Oreochromis niloticus: one gene and its partner. The main gene of each other region encodes a partner of the protein of the gene in region 2 in a complex. Links are inferred from orthologs where the notes say so. Each region holds a gene or a part of one and is shown on either strand. Other genes may lie near its edges.

Evidence for each region.
Region 1: the proteins of pak4 (region 2) and itgb5 are in contact, whole or in part, in a crystal structure (PDB 7S46), measured with the Homo sapiens proteins. The link is inferred for Oreochromis niloticus from reciprocal best matches to the Homo sapiens genes PAK4 and ITGB5. Residues at the interface, in NP_001014831.1 of Homo sapiens: Gly330, Ser331, Gln358, Arg359, Leu362, Thr404, Lys442, Ser443, Asp444, Asp458, Phe461, Leu475, Val476, Gly477, Thr478, Pro479, Tyr480, Trp481, Met482, Glu507, Glu512, Phe516, Asn517, Glu518, Pro519, Pro520, Met524; in NP_002204.2 of Homo sapiens: Ser762, Arg763, Ala764, Arg765, Tyr766, Glu767, Met768, Ala769, Ser770.

What each region holds. Positions count from the first base shown.
Region 1 is NC_031987.2:31,870,796-31,879,371, forward strand, and holds the start of itgb5 (integrin beta-5), read right to left. Parts: upstream 5,512-8,576; 5' UTR 4,969-5,511; coding exon 4,890-4,968; intron 4,217-4,889; coding exon 4,131-4,216; intron 3,974-4,130; coding exon 3,766-3,973; intron 3,645-3,765; coding exon 3,395-3,644; intron 2,718-3,394; coding exon 2,549-2,717; intron 1-2,548.
Region 2 is NC_031979.2:34,929,488-34,938,063, reverse strand, and holds the start of pak4 (serine/threonine-protein kinase PAK 4), read right to left. Parts: upstream 4,611-8,576; 5' UTR 3,765-4,610; intron 1-3,764. UniProt on the Homo sapiens protein: Serine/threonine-protein kinase that plays a role in a variety of different signaling pathways including cytoskeleton regulation, cell adhesion turnover, cell migration, growth, proliferation or cell survival.

The DNA of each region.
Region 1 (8,576 bases), on a different chromosome or scaffold from region 2:
TGTTACTGGAGGCCAAGGTAATGCCATCCAGAGTAAGAATCTGCTTAGATACCATATTTCTAAGATTTTCAGGGCCGAGTACAATAACCTCAGTTTTATCTGAATTAAGAAGCAGAAAGTTAGCGGCCATCCAGGTCTTTATGTCTTTAAGACATTCCTGCAGTTTAACTAATTGGTGTGTGTTACCTGGCTTCATGGATAGATAGAGCTGCGTGTCATCTGCATAGCAGTGAAAATTTATGCTATGTCTTCTAATGATGTTGCCTAGGGGAAGCATGTATAATGTAAATAGAATTGGTCCTAGCACTGAACCCTGTGGAACACCATAATTGACCTTAGTGTCTGAAGAGGACTCTCCATTTACATGTACAAACTGGAGTCTATTAGATAGATATGATACAAACCACTGCAGTGCAGTACCTGTAATACCTACAGCATGTTCTAATCGCTCTAATAGGATATTATGGTCAACAGTATCGAACGCAGCACTGAGGTCTAGCAGGACAAGCACAGAGATGAGTCCACTGTCAGAGGCCATAAGAAGATCATTTGTAACCTTCACTAAAGCTGTTTCTGTGCTGTGATGAGCTCTGAAACCTGACTGAAACTCTTCAAATAAGCCATTCCTCTGCAGATGATCTGTTAGCTGTTTGACAACTACTCTTTCAAGGATTTTTGATATGAAAGGAAGGTTGGAGATTGGCCTATAATTAGCTAAGACAGCTGGGTCTAGAGATGGCTTTTTAAGTAAAGGTTTAACTACAGCCAGCTTGAAGGCCTGTGGTACATAGCCGATTATTAGAGATAGGTTGATCATATTTAAGATCGAAGAATTAATTAATGGCAGGACTTCTTTGAGCAGTTTTGTAGGAATGGGGTCTAAAAGACACGTTGATGGTTTGGAGGAATTAATTATTGAAGTTAACTCAGAAAGATCAATTGGAGAAAAAGAGTCTAACTTAACATCGATGGTACTAAGAGTAGCTGTAGATAATATTACATCTGTGGGATGATTATTGGTAATTTTTTCTCTAATGATAAAAATTTTATTTGTGAAGAAGTTCATGAAGTCATTACTAGTTAACGTTAAAGGGATGGTTGGCTCAGTAGAGCTCTGACTTTTTGTCAGCCTGGCTACAGTGCTGAAGAGAAACCTGGGGTTGTTCTTATTTTCTTCAATCAGTGACGAATAGTAAGATGTTCTGGCTTTGCGGAGGGCTTTCTTATAAAGCAGCAAACTATTTCTCCAGGCTAAATGATGATCCTCTAAATTTGTGACACGCCATTTCCTCTCCAGCTTACGAGTTATCTGCTTTAGGCTACGTGTTTGAGAATTATACCACGGAGTCAGGGACTTTGGATTTGAGGCCTTAGTTTTCACAGGAGCTACAGTATCCAGAGTCGTACGTAGTGAGGAGGTAAAATTATTAACAAGATAATCGACCTCTGTTGGAGTAGCGTTCAGATAGCTGCTCTGCTCTATGTTGGTACAGGGCATTGAAGATGATAACAGTGGGTGGATTATATTCTTAAACTTAGTTACAGCACTTTCAGAAAGACATCTACTTTGATAAAGTCTACTCTCCACTGCTGTGTAATCAATTATTGTAAATGTAAATGTTATCAGGAAATGATCAGACAGCAGAGGGTTTTCAGGAAACACTGTTAAATATTCAGTTTCTATGCCATACGTTAAAACAAGATCTAGAGTGTGATTAAAGTGGTGGGTGGGTTCTTTTACATTTTGAGAGAAGCCAATTGAGTCTAGTAACAGATTAAATGCGATGTTGAGGCTGTCATTTTTAGCATCTACATGGATGTTAAAATCACCCACAATAATTATTTTATCTGAGCTGAGCACTAAATCAGATAAAAAGTCTGAGAAATCAGAGAGAAACTCTGTGTAAGGCCCAGGTGGACGATAGATGATAACAAGTAAGACTGGTTTCTGAGTTCTTTCAATGCCAAAGTCAACAATTGCAAGACTAGCTACAGTAAAACAGAAACCGAGTCCACTAATCACTGATATCACTAACATCAGGACCGACTCCCAGCCAGCTCAGAGACTTCTCTGTGCGGAGGCTGCATGTTCTCCCCATGCCTGTGTGGGCTCTCTCCAGGTACATCAGCTTCACACAGAACAAAGACATGGTTGGATTTTGCCACTAAAAAAAGGGCCTCATTCACAAACAGTACACATGCAATCTTTGCATAAACAGTTCACACAAATGTGGGGTTCATCAATAACTTCATATTCTTCAAACATAGAACAGCCTCTGAGCACATGTACAAAAGAAATTATGAAGTCCTGGATAAATCTCCTAATACTGCTTAATAATAATAATAATAATAATAATAATGATAATCCTCTCTTCCTTCAGGTTATTGCATACAGTTTACACTATAAACCAAATGAATACAAGCAAAACATTTAACTGCATGTAAAGGAAAGCTTATGTGTAAGCAAGTCTAATAATAAAAGTATGAAGTTGTAAATGAACAGAAGGGGCAGGCGAATGGAAACATCTACTAGAAAAAAGATCATCACCTTACAAACAGCAGCCTGAAGGATGGCGTCAAAGCCGCCCTCCGGTGCGTCTCTATTGCGGGATACCATCTGCTTCTGCACCTCCTCGTTAAAACGGTCCACTTTGTCAGTCAGCGAGAGGATGTGGCGGAAACCAAAGCTGGGGACACAGTTGGGAAACAGCTTGTACCTGTGCAGGGTGACAGACACTGCATGTTAAGAAAATGTTTTATTTACATTTTTGGAAATTAAAAAACACAATAAGTGTCTTTAAAGGCATAAATCCTGGCTCTGACGGTTCGTTTGTGTTGAAAAGAAGCTAAAATGTTAAATATGGCGTATCTTATGATTCACTTCATATACAGTACTTGTAGACTCTTTCTAATGTAGTGAATGGGATAGAAATGAAATATGAAAGAAGGGAGATCTTTTAGCAGCAATCGCTTTAGTTTTTCCCTAAAGTGCCTTATTGTTTGTGACTGATGCACAAACACACACTCACAAAAATATCTAAACATGGCACACACACACAGCCCAGGCCATAACCTAAATGGGAAGTGATGCGCACAGAGTTAGCCGCACCTTCAGGGCAAACATCGTGTGCCACAGCTTTCTCTACTCTTTCACTTCTGCTCCCTTTCAGTTTCCCTGCATCACCAGCCCCAGGGGACCGTGGGAGTACTAGGGCCATTTTTAAGAACTACATTATTCACTCTGCCTTATAAATATTAAGAAAAAAACCCCAAAACTCTCATTCTCACAGATGCAGAGTACACAATTCAGAAAGGTGCAAAAACAGAGTGTGGCCACAGAGTAAATCACTTTCACCTATAGCTATCGAGCTCGATTCCTTTTGCCACCACCTACCCGTTGCATGGGTTCTCCTGGTACTTTGGTGCCATGTAGGAGAACGGGGACATGTTTTTGTCCACAAATGAGCCGAAGCCTAGCCTGAAATTGCTGGTGAGCTTGCCCATCTCGTGGGCTAGCTTAGTGCCCAGGTTGCGAATGGTGTCCAGATCATCTTTCATTGAAAGAGAGAGGTCCATCAGGTAGTAGAGATCCACCGGGTAGTCCTCCACCTGCCGCACCTGCAGGCTGAACCACGTCTGGTCTCCTGCATGAACAAATCAGTGAGCTTTGCATTATTTATAAGAGATGCTTTTAATGCTTTTTTTTTTTTTTGCATGTTCCAAGGTTATTCCGTATCCTAAATATGAAATGTTTATGATTCTTACCGGGACGCAGGCTGAGAGAGATCTTCTGTGGCATAATCTGGACCACATCATACTGGGTCGACCCAGACCCTTTTGAACTCAGGGGTATGTTCTGCAGGACGTTGATGCTGCTGGTTAGGTATTCAATGAAGTGTTCGTCACAGCCTCTCTTCAACAGGTTTTGACTAAAGTCACACCGTGATGTCAGACTGCGCCCCCTTCCAAAATCCTGCAAGATGGAAAGCAACAAATCTCAGATTCCTGATTACTCGTACTGCTTCCAAAAGGTCCCCCAAAAAAGTGAAAAGTGGTGAATGCATCCCCCACTTCATGGACCTGTACAAGTAAATGTACATGATGAAAATAATCGATCAACTAAGCCATACCTCTTGTGCGCACCAGGCGCAACTGGGGTGAATCAGGAGGCATTCTTCACAGGAAGTAGCACTGCCACTCATGCACATGTTGAGACCTGAGGGGGGACGGGAACAGAGCTGAGGCTAGATTTCCACTTTCATCCCTATCACGGTTGTACTTCTATTTCAAATTAATGACCAAGGAAACAGACCCTAAGGTTAAAAAAATTAATAATAATAAAGCCCATATTGAATCCAAGGTTAAACAGGACCTGTCATGCTCGTTTCCATCTGATGCAAACATTGATTTTTGGGGATGTAAAAAAATCTGATATGAAAATCTCAGCCAATATTCTTAATATGCTGCTTGTTCATATGAAATCATGGAGGCACTGATTTAGCAGCTGAACATCAGCTGGAGTGATCATGGCCTTGGTGAGCTCTTAATGAAATTTATCAATAGTTTCAAACATTTGTCTGACTGACTGTGTGGCCATTCAAAGGTAAGCGTGACATAAGGCTGATTTTCTTGGCACTGAATGGGGAAAAAATAACAAAAAATCTTGTCTTGCTCCAATTTTATTTCCACAGTAGCTTTGCATGATTCACAGTTAAAAATAATCCTTATCTATCCTAGGCCATGTAGTCCTTTCGTTTAACACTGTCAGGGGCTTCGCAGTGTTTTTTCGAGGAGCTCCAGCTCCGCGTGTGTGATCCAAACTCAGCCCACCGGCCGCTGCAAAAACAGGCAGTGATTTGTGTTGAGAAGAAGACAGTCCTGCGTCCTACCTCTGGCACTGGGCAGCACTGTTTGCAGAAGCATGCAGCATAGAGCCGCCTGCCACATCCACGTCCCGAGATTCCACATGGTATCCCTGTTGGTGTTTTTAGAGGTTTCGGGAAACACCGGTTTCGTATCTCTTCAGGAACCGATGGCGCTGTGTTACTCTCCCATCAGCGCGCTCACCAGAATAAGTCCAGCTGATCCGTGCAAATCAAAACAGTGTGGCGTGTTTAGACCATTTCACATCCACGGACACGCGGGTTTAGGGCTCATCACAGTGAAGGATCCGTGTGAGGTGAGGGACAGCAGTTCCATTGTCTTCAAGTGTGAGAGTCAGCGCTCTGCACCGTCCTGTTGATCTGCTCTCCTAACTCAGGCTTCGGTGTCTGACGCCTCTGTAGCCTTCCACGTCTACTCTACCATCAGCTGACAACTGCTCTCACACTTCAGCGTGGACTTCATGCCACCTCTCCTTTCAAATCCACCCAAAGATCACTAAAAGAGGAAATAATCCCGTCCCAAATTAGATGAACAAACCTACGCTCAACTGTGATTTTCCTTTCTAGATTTGAGCGTTGCTTTCTCGGTTTGCTTCCAGCTGGAATCTCCGCCCACTCCCCGCCAGGGATTACTTTAACCCGTTCACTGCCTTTTGGAGTTGTCGGCACCACGGTATGTCGACCACGTGGAGACATCTAGCGGTGAATGCACAGAAAGCACCAGATGGGAGGCATCGACTAGGAAACACTGCTCTTGTCATAATGCTCTCCTGTTATACCGAGATGCAGCCCAGGGGCGGATCTCGAGAAATCTTCTTAGGGTGGCATGGAAATCAAATGAGGTGACAAAATCCCAGCCTTGTTTTTTTAAACCCACGTAGGCAGGTGTTACATATGGTTAAAATGATTCAAATGCAGTAAGTATACACGTTTCATATAAATATAGTCTATAACTTAATTACTTTCTGTAGCCCACATAGTTAAACATTCAGTTGCATAAAACGTGAATTTTGAGTTTATGTACTGTATAGCCTGTATAATAAATAAATATGTAGCCTAAAAAGCATAAAATCCAGAAAGCAACCCAACATGGGGCAGTTCATTTACAAACACAGGTCTAACTTAAGTTTCACCTTTTTGTTAGAAAAAAATCAGATTGTTACATGCTTAAATTCACACAAATTTACCCTGTCATGAACAAAAATGTAATTTTGTAATTTTTCATGATTTGTTGGGATTATATTTTGAACTCTGAGGTCCAAAATATAATTGGCCATTTTTGACTACTTTTGATTTTACATTTGTATTTCACCTTTAAATTGTTTTGTTTTATTTGATTTTTTACCTCAACTTGCTTGGTATCATTCTTTTCGGCACAACCTCACGTGTCTGAATTTACAGTTATTTTCTCATTGACATTCTGTATTAACACAACTGATCTGAAATCACACAAAAACATGAAATCCTAGTAGTATTTTTTAAATGTAAAACCCATAGACATATTTAGTAAATTTATTTCATAACTTAAAATGCAAATATAAATAGGATATTTTGAAAACTTATGCATAAATTTTGTAAACAATAAAGTTACATGCAACTATTTATCTAAAAATGTAGCCAACGCATCTGGTGTTGGTTTTTTGTTGTTGTTGTTGTTTTTTAATTTTATACAACAATTTAAAAATACTTCTATAACTAAAATAAGAGAACAATCAGGTGTCACAATAAGATTTCCCACAAATTATTTGTGCCAGTAAAAACACAATACAGAAGAGACCACCACAGGGATAAACCCTGCGGGCCTGACAACAGGTGTATCACTCTTCTGGTTTTCCACCTGGAGACAGTGTTTACATTGAAATCTGCCTTTGTGACATTCATTAGTGCCCTCACTGCTATACAAAACAAAAACAAAGACTACACAAGACAACACAATGCACTAACTATATGCTAAACGTCAAAAATCTCTCACATCTCAAAACTCGCGCTCTGTCACTCTCCCTCCCTGGCTAGCTCTGTCTCACTACCGTCACTCCCAAAGCTTTCCTCTCTTCCTAAACAACCAAACCCTGTGTTGCCGGTTTTTTTTCTTGGTCGACAGGGTACATTTTTCCACCAATAGGAAAGAGGCTATGTTTTATTTCTTTACTGTTTTCGTGCTGTCATTAGAAAAACGCTTTTCTTTTTCTTTTTCTTTTTTTTTTTTTTACCATGACGATAGTATTTAGAAAAAAATCATAGCTCAGATAAGGATTTAGTGGTCTGTCATTAAAATTTAAAAACTGGTGTATACTTTTAAGTACGAACTTTCAACAAGCTGAAATAGAGATTCACCGTGGCTGCAGCTTGTTATGTCAGCTTAAATCACTCATGTGATTTGGAGGTGCAGCGTGTCCGTGGACCCCAGAGGATTCACCTTCCTTCCATTTCCAGAGCGTAACAACCAGCCGCCTGTGTGAAATGTGAAATGCCCATGGTTTTGATTCAAAATGTGCTCTGATGCAATCATAGGCATCGGTTGCTACTGGAAACAAGAATAAGAAAGCGCGATGGGCGGAACCATTTGTTAATGGTGGAGGTGGGAAACACTATGCAATATATTCAGTTTTAGAATTTATATTCAGTGTTAACTGTAGCTAGGCTACAAGTATTAATGCTGTCCTATTTTAATAAACAACATGTCATATGCAAAACTAGGGTGGCACTAGGGGTGGCAAGGGATCATTTTAGGGTGGCACAGCTCCTCAGCTTTCTTCTAATTGGCTGCTCCTCACAAACAAACGTTTTAACTGGCAAATTGGTGCGTGAGTATCAAAAATACCCACCTTTAGTGATATAAGGACACACCTATACTTGAATATATACATTTTCACTGTTGACTAGCCAGCCTTCATTTCAGCATCAGTGTTTTCAATCCCTGCATGCACGACCCGTCTTCTTTTTTTTTTTTTTACACATCAGTTCTGGACATTGTAGCAGTCGTTCTTTTTAACATGTAGCTGAGATCAGGTAAGTCTATTTAGCTACAGTCTCGCTTGTATTGGACTTTACTTTGTACATGGACTAATGCAGGGGTGTCCAAAGCCCGGCCCGCGGTCCATTTTTACGGTGGCCCCTAGAGACAAAGCACGTACAAACTCCAAAGCACATGCAAACTCCAAAACACATGCAAACTCCAAAACACTTGCAAAATCCAAAACACTTGCAAAATCCAAAACACTTGCAAACTCCAAAACACTTGCAAACTCCAAAACACTTGCAAAATCCAAAACACTTGCAAACTCCAAAACACTTGCAAAATCCAAAACACTTGCAAACTCCAAAACATATGCAAACTCCAAAACACTTGCAAAATCCAAAACACTTGCAAAATCCAAAACACTTGCAAACTCCAAAACACATGCAAACTCCAAAACACTTGCAAATTCCAAAACACAACGGAAGTGCTCCAGGACGCTAGGGGCAGTGTTGAGCTTTCGTTACCTAGTAACTACACAAGCCAGGAAGTACCAATGACCGGATTTGGGCTCTATCCCAATTCAGGGTCTGCAGCCTTAAAGGCGACATTTTAAGGACGATTATGTCACAGCGAAACGACGAAGGCTGTCCCAATTCAAAGGCTGCTCGAAATGCGGCCCTCAAATGCGTCCTTAATTTCCCTGAATTTTAAGGATGGGTCGGTGTAGCCTTCAT
Region 2 (8,576 bases):
TCAGTTTCTTTCTCGATAACAAATCACCACACACACCTCATGCTCCTGCCTGTTATTGCCCTTTTGCCTCCAGCCATCACCTTGTACATCGCTGTGAAAGCTGTTTGGACTTCACAGAAGAAGCCTGAACAGCAGCTGCGTTCGGGCCCTTCTGGTCAGTTCGCATCAAAGCAATGACAACATCCCTCCTGCCAGCAGCTCTGTCTCCTGCTGGACACATCTGTCAACAGTCATCTGTGATTTCTGATCATTTCCACCTTCATGGCTCGCCTCCTCTGCTGTGATTCACCTAAAAACTGGCCGAAAATCAAGAAAAACTCTTAAATCTGCTTGGAGTGAATCCTTCAAACTCAGTAGATTTTAGGTACTGCAGCTTTATAAATATGATCAAAGAAAATACAGAAACTGCAGAGGAATTTGAAAAAAGTAGCATATAGCAAGTGATCAGATATATTTTTGAATGCCTCTTCTTTACTGCTAAATACAGTTAGAAGCAAAAAATCTTTAGCCCCATTGTGTATTAGGTTTATTGGCATAAATTCAGTGTCCAGCAGGCTTATCACCAAAGCCCACACTGCACACTGAAATAGCTGCCAAATGGGCCTTTATTATGGAAGAAGTTTGTCTAGCTTTGTCTAGTAAATTCTGCATAAAACAGCACCTCAAAGTTCGTAACTATAAGTACACTTCTTTCTAACTGCCTTAGTCAAGTCCCGCCACAGCTTTTCCATATTAATGGTTCAGACAGCCACTATCTAGGACTTCCTCTGAAACCTAAAGCCAATATTCTGAGGTATGCTTGGGTCACTGTACTACTACTGAAAGGTCCATCAATGCTTGCGCATCAGCGTCCTCACTGACAGCAATACATTTTGGCGACCGTGGCTCAGGAGATTGGGAAGCTCATCTGTAACCGGAAGGTTGCCAGTTCGATCCCCCTGCTCTCTCTGTCCTGGTCGTTGTGTCCTTGGGCAAGACACTTTACCCTACCGCCTACTGGTGTTGGCCAGAGGGGCCGATGGCGCGATATGGCAGCCTCGCTTCTGTCAGTCTACCCCAGGGCAGCTGTGGCTACAACTGTAGCTTGCCTCCACCAGTGTGTGAATGTGAGAGTGAATGAATAGTGGAACTGTAAAGCGTTTTGGGTGCTTAGAAAAGCGCTATATAAATGCAATCCATTATCATTATTATTATTTTCTTCCAGGATTTCTGATACTTTATTTACTACATGTTGCCAGTTGTACTTTGTAGACTTTTGCATTACATGAGGAATCAAAGAAGTCTCTGACATCACTGAGCCACCATCATGCATTACTATAGGTCAGTTCATTCTTCCTTCTCCAGACACATTTCTGACCCATAGGCCAAAAGTTCTAGTTTTGTTTTGTCCCCCCCCCCCCCCCCAAAAGATCTGTGCCATCATTTCAATCATCATCAGTAATGAGTCACAGCACTTCGATAAATCATATGACCTTGGGAATAAATTCAGGAACAGGTTTCATTTCAGCCAGTGAAACTGCTAGTCAGTGACTGAAACTGGCAGGGCTCTCTTAGGTTTGGCCCTGTTACATAGTGCCAGCAGGCAAATGACAGGAAATGAAGGAAAGATGGATGCAGCAAAGGTTCCCAACAGACTTCTACCCGCAGACATTGTGGTTTATTGTTGTCTGAGCCAAAGGAAATTATTATGAAGTAGTAAAATTAAAGTTAAAAAGTGTTGTTAAATGTCTTTATCCTGCCAGGTAGCATAATAAGTTTCCTGCCAGCAAGCAGAATAAACACCAAGCAGCATCTTTTGGGACCAGTTTTGATTATTTATACTGGGATGAGGGCTTTTTGAGCAACCTCCAGGGTACCACAAAACCCCCTCTTTTACCCTACAGGGAGAGCCAACTGGAGCCTCCTTTCAGGAGGAGAATAAAGTATAATACTGATATCCTACTTTAAGGAAAAACAAACAAAAACCAAACAGCAGCATACACTTAATGCTCCTTTCCCAACAGACTCTCTATATGCCCCTTGTCTGCCACACAAAGTCGTTTATTTTTCCACTTGTTGATTGTCTGCTGCTTCTATGACCTGCGTGGATTTGGTTTATCTGGTCCAAATATGTCAGTGAGGATGACTGTTTAACCTGCCAGCCTGTTTTTCCTGTTTGATTACCTTGGTTGGCTCCTCGTTTTTCCACCACAGAGCAGACAATTCCAATGTTTCTACAACTACCAGCAGACAGAAGAAGATGCTTTTTATTAAAGCTGTTCTGGAAACCCGAAAAAGTAAACAGAACTTAAACATTTTCTGCTAGAAAAGCTAATTACTTTCTTTCACCTGTCCTTTTGGCTTAGGTTTGTATAATTTTAAATTATCAGGTACCTAACAAGGTATTTTAAAACCATGTTATCTTAACACTGTTAGATTCATATTCAGCACATATGCTGTGTTTTTTGTTCACAATGAACAATCACTCAAAGAAAACACACACATTTCCAATTTTTTTCCAGTAAACTTGCCATTTGTTTCTTTCAGATTCAGTTGAGGTTGTTGTAATTTAGCAGAACAAATGCCATCCATAAGTTGCATTTTCCCAAAGAGATATTAGTCAGTTAGCTACTATCTAACAAAAATATAACTTTTCAATATGGCTGTACTGATTGTGAAATTCTGAGCTGATACTGTCAAAAGAATTTGGCCTAAATCCTATCCTCATGTATCCATAGTTTATTTAAATGTACTTTTCTTGTTATCTGTTCCCACTTCTGTGCTATAAACACTAACATCTTTTTAAAAGACTTTCACCTTTTCATCACACTGCCTTTGAACTCTCCAGCAGATAAACTTAACTGTTTATCTTACTTACTAGTAGATGGATATCAGCTGTCTTGCAGCTGCATCCCATCTCGCAACTTAACACGTGAATATTGCTGATGAATATTTTGCCATACATGATGTAGATGTTCCCGCTGCTGTTTGGGAATGGTGCATATGTGAGAGAGACGAGTGACCCCTTCATACAGCTTCTCTGGAATCCCAGGAATGTATGGTGTGCCCAGCACCAACCGCACGACCTTACAAACACAAACCCCCCCCCCCTTCCTCTCACTGCACACTCACGAAGCACAACACAAATGCAATCCATAACATGACATCCGCCAGCCAAGAGGAAAAGAAGTGGGAGGGGAAAAAAGAAACTAAAAAGGAGAATTCATTCATGCACGAGAGAGAGAGGGAGCAGCTTAATATCCTCTTTTCCTGCTTTAGCCTGCCCACACAAACAATTCAGTCCTCCTTCACAGGTGAAAACGGAAGTTCACCGTGATCGTGATTATCAGGAACCAGCTGAACTTATCAGAAAGCAGACTGGCAGACTCAGCGTTACCAGAACTCGTTTGTCTCCTGGGTGTGCAAATGAGCCATCCTGTGAGCGTATGAGATCTTAGCAAAGGAAGACAGTCTGAACCTAAAGTTAGCTTCACATTTTTATTGTTTAACAACTTTCACAAGTGGCCCTCAGATTTTTGATTTCACAGTTCAGACACGATTCACTCTAGTCTACGCTTTGAGTGATTCATGAGCTAACACACAAACACAAGGAGAGCAGACTGAAGGAGGCTGCTCCGGTATCCTCACACCCGGACTGGCCGGACCGACCGGAGCGCAGCTAACGCTAGCCTCCGTTAGCGGCTCAGCGGGGAGCGGAGACGCGCCACAAGCTAACCCACAGCACGGTCCGGTAACCGAAGTCAGAGCCACGCGGGGATACTCACCAGGGATGTCCCAGGAAAACTTTTTCTGCCGACCCCGCGACGTACTTGGAAACTTTCCAAAAATCAGAAGGGCGGGAGCGGACTAACTTCAGGGCAAACTGTGTGATATTAGCCGAAGTCTTACTTTCCCGACGCCATGTTGAACAGAGGAAACTGGAACATCCGGGAAACTGAAACCAATCTCCATGGAAACCGAGTTAGCAACGGGCTACCGGGAGACGACTCTTCTTCGGCTTTTTTTTCTTCTTCTTTGTGGTTGGTAAACATTACCGCCCACCGGTAGACTAATACTGTACCTTCCTCCCAGCTGTTTCTTACATTTGTAGTGCACGTATTATTTATTAATGCAATTCACACTACTCTCTTTTACCATCTCAGTCTCACTTTTTACTTTACTTTAACTTAACCTAATTTTTTTATTCTTTCTTTTCTTTGTTTTTTAATCACAGTGGAAAATGTTTACATATAACAATCTCACAGGCCGTCACTATGCGCCTGTGGCACTTTAACTTTGTTCTTTATTTATTGTAGACTGCACTATTTTTATTCTTTATCCCGCTGTTGTAACACAATAAATTTCCCTTGTGGGATTATTATGTTCACATATGGCTTCTTCTTTGCATGACAAAGATTTGTCTGCACTCTCCATATAATCTTACATCCAGCTGCTTTAAAATCACCAGCTAACCTAACATGCATGTCTTTGGACTGTTTGAGGAAGCTGGAGTAACTGAAGAGATCCCACAAGGGCACAGGGAGAACATCTAAACTCCACACAGAAAGGTCTCAGCCAACCCGGGAATTTGAACCTTTCAATAAACCCCATTGCTAACTACTTCAGAATGCTTTCCATAACAGAACTATTTAGGTTTATATCTTGAGAGTTAATGTAAGTTTAAAACAAGAGAAACAAACCAAAAAATAAATTTTTTAGAAGAAATGTATTGATCTCATGGCAGTAGAGTGTTTTTTAATGTTACAGTGACTAAACACAGTGGTACAAAAAAGTCTGTTTTACAAATGTAGCCAATCGTCATATTTGCGGGACTGATGGATTCTCATACAGGGGCACCTCCAGAATTTTTTCATAGGGGGCCACTAAAAATACTGGGATGCCACACCAAAAACAGAATTTCCAGTTTTACCATGCTGTCATCAAATATATTTTTTTGGGGGGGGGGGGCTAGTTTTGTTTTGTTTTTTTAATCTACCATGTCGAAGCAATGCAGGCACACATACGTACATGCATTAATATGTAGAATATGCAGTAAATTCCTATAAAACAGAGACATTTCAATCAATAAGAGGGACAAACAACTTCACTATGAGCTCATATGGTAGGTTTTATCTTAACTTTAGTAAATAAAACTGCGGCAAGTAGGGTTGGTTAATGATTCACCAGGAGAGATGGGAACAGAAGTTGCTGATACAGGGCCAGGCTCCTATTGTGTGATGCAGAGGTGGTGATGGATAGGTGGGACTACAGCCTTGAGAACAGCTATTTGGATGCAATTCGACTTTCTGTGCCAGATAAAGTTGGAGCTCATGGATCATAGCGACGTCACTCCTCGGTATAAGTTCAGGGACAAGTCATCGCCTTGCTGCTGTTGCTCCTGTAGGAGATGAGGAAAGCAAGGAAGGTGGGCGAAGAGATAGGAATGAGGTAGCTGCACAGTGAGGAGTGCAGATATCTGACAGTCCGCAGGTGGTGGTGATCATCCAGAAGAAGCTCGGGGCAACAGAGGGAAAGTTCAGGGTTAGTTCGGAGGAGCTAAAGTAAATGCTAAACTTTCACAAAGAAAAACTGTTTTTCTCTGTGGAGGTTTAGCACCGCACTGCAGTGAGAACAGCCCAGACAAGCTTTGTCTGAACCAGAATATCCTCACCTTATCCCAGAATAACACATCTGCATACTCTGGGGATCTGTGAATTCACCATTTTCATCACAGCTGGTTCAGAGCTGCTCACGAGTTTGTTAAAGGGGACTGCAACAGTATGCTTACCATCCAGAAAAAAACACCCCAGTGATGCCAAGCAGCACCGCAGTGCAGTGAGAACGACCCAGAGAAGGTGTCTCTGTTTGGATGAAGAGGAATTAAAACTGTATAAACAACCATATTCATTAATCTGCCACTGAAAGCCCTGATTTTGCTATGTTGCCATCTGAAGACAGAGACTTTTAAAAAACAAATTAAGCTTTGGTTATCCTCGCATCTGTGATACAAAAAAAAGCTCTTTGTATTAATCAGTGTTTGGCAACAACAGGGGAGGAGATACTGAGGACAAATCTCATGTCTGGTAATGTGCAGTACAACACACTGACAAACATGTAAAATATATTTAATTTTGGTCAACATACACTCATCATAATATGTTCTGTGAAAAAAGTAACATTAAAGTTCCCATTGCTTGTATTTTTAGTCTTTGTGGGTCAGCAGCTCTGTGTTCATTGTTTCCTGGCTAATGAATCAATACACTGCACTGTAATTATTATTAATATTATTTTTCCCACAAAAATACTGTAAAAAATATCAGAAATGTACAATAATAATCAATTTTTTGTGGTATTTAAAAAAATAAAATCATCTTAATTAAAATACAGATGTTTTAAAGTTACATGAAAAAAATGTCTGTTTTTACAGATTTCTTTTTTCGAATAAAGATGTTTAAATCTGTATAAACAACAATATTACCTAATAATAAGTTCAAATACTCACCAAGTAATTAATCCAATTAGAACAGGAGAAAAGTACTGTTGAATTTTACTTCGTACGTTCTGCAATTTTGTATTTTTAGTCCATTCATAATGTGAAAAAATGATTTACTACACAAATAAACCAGTTTGTTAAACTAGTAACTGGGTTTACATTTTTTTTTTTAAATAATTAAAAAATTACAGATCTTTTCTAGCACATACTGACTGATCATATTTGATTCCACATAAAATCTTAAGTCTATTTAGTTGATATGATAAGAGTGAAATATTCCATGAACCATGTAAACTCCTGTTTACTGTGCTTTCAGCCTGAGCAACTGTTTTATTTTGTAAATCTAGATACTGCTCCATATTTGTGGGACAGCAGCAAGTTATTAGTTTCCTTGTATGTGATGATCTCATCAGTATTTCCTGTGCTGCTACAGATGAAACTACACAACAGGGTAAATTACATTATGATAGCTTGACCTCAACCAGCAACATCAGTGAAGCAGAACTCAATAAAAATGATTAAATAATGTATAATAATCCTGTGATAGACTGGCCAGCTGTCCAGAGTGTACTCCGCCTCTCACCCTGTGACAGGCTCCACCGTCACTCTGATCTGGATGAGAATTAATGAATGAATGAATGAATGGATGGATGGATGGAAGAACATATTTTTCTGCAGTATCACTTTCAACTTTAGCTATTTCTTTCAACTAAAGAAAAATGTAAATCCATAATGTAAGTAAATTTTTACTTAACATTGAGAATTAATTGCAACTTTTAAAAACATTTGTAATCTTGTTTAAAAACAAGCAAACGGCTCCATTACGTCATTAACCACATTTCCCTCATCACTGTAAAAGCCAGGATATTACCTCAGTGTCTTTGCAGTTTGATCTGCACAACACTGACCTCTAGTGATCAAATGCACACACTGCTCTGTCAAGCTTTGCTCTGTGGCGTCCTCGTCACGGTGAGAGGTTTTCAAAAAGGCCTGATGAGTGAGGAGACAGTTTTCTTTTTGTTCCTCACACACTGATGGAGTAATGTCATTGTTAGTTTCAGAAATGATAAAAATAATAATGAAATTTGTGAACTAAACTGTGAAGTTTTATTTTATTCTCAAAGATGTACGTTTCTGTGTATGTTTTATTATTGAACAGCAAATTTTCATATGACGCATTTACCAGATTTCTTCTGCCAATACTAAGTGCATACACCTCTTCTGTTCCAGGTTTCATTGTCTGGAGATGAAGCTATCACGTCCCCCCTTATTTTCTGTCATATATTTACTGTTACAGTAGTTGGTGCTCATATTAAATGTCCCTGAAACCTAAACACACGGAGCTGGAAATGAGCAGGAAAGGTCACCTTTGAGAGTTTCTCTCGGTGGAAACATCTTCCCATTTAGATAGTCTTGCTTACTGTATTAATATGTTGAGAAAAACCTACATTAATCTCTTAACCTGCTAACCTCTAATGACAATCAGCTGATTATAACTTTACTTGCAGCTTTAGGAGAAAGTTATATAACTAGAGGTTTCATTGAGCGAGAGTTTGATCATTTATTTCTGCAGTGGAAGCAAATTTGTTACATTTCAAATAGCAGCTTTTTTGTCCCATTGCAAATTTGGATCAATACTTTGCTTCTTTTCTGGTGGTTCTCCAGCTTATTTACAGGCTTTGTTTGTCCTGGGAGACGTGTGTGTTTGCTGAGCATGCTCCTCTTTTCCAGCTTTGCTTCTGCATGTATAGATAAATCTATATTTACTATTTTTTTATACAGAGAAATCACATTTGTCCTTTAAAATTCCTGCTTTTCCTCTCATTGTGGTTTCTGACTCTTAGGGAAAACATATAGTTAATCAGATCTCGGCTGTAAGTGTTTTATAAACTGAGAACAGATGGTTTTCTCATGTTTCACTGCATTAAAGAAGTGTGGAGTAAAGGCACCAACATCTGAGGGACTACAGGTTGGACTCTGTGACTAAAATGTGAAGCTGCTCAAACAGCTTTCCTAAATGAATCCACAGCTCAGCAGTTTGTCGAGCCGCCTCGCTGGTTTACATCCTCTTATGAGGTAATGAAAGCCCTGAATGGATGGTACA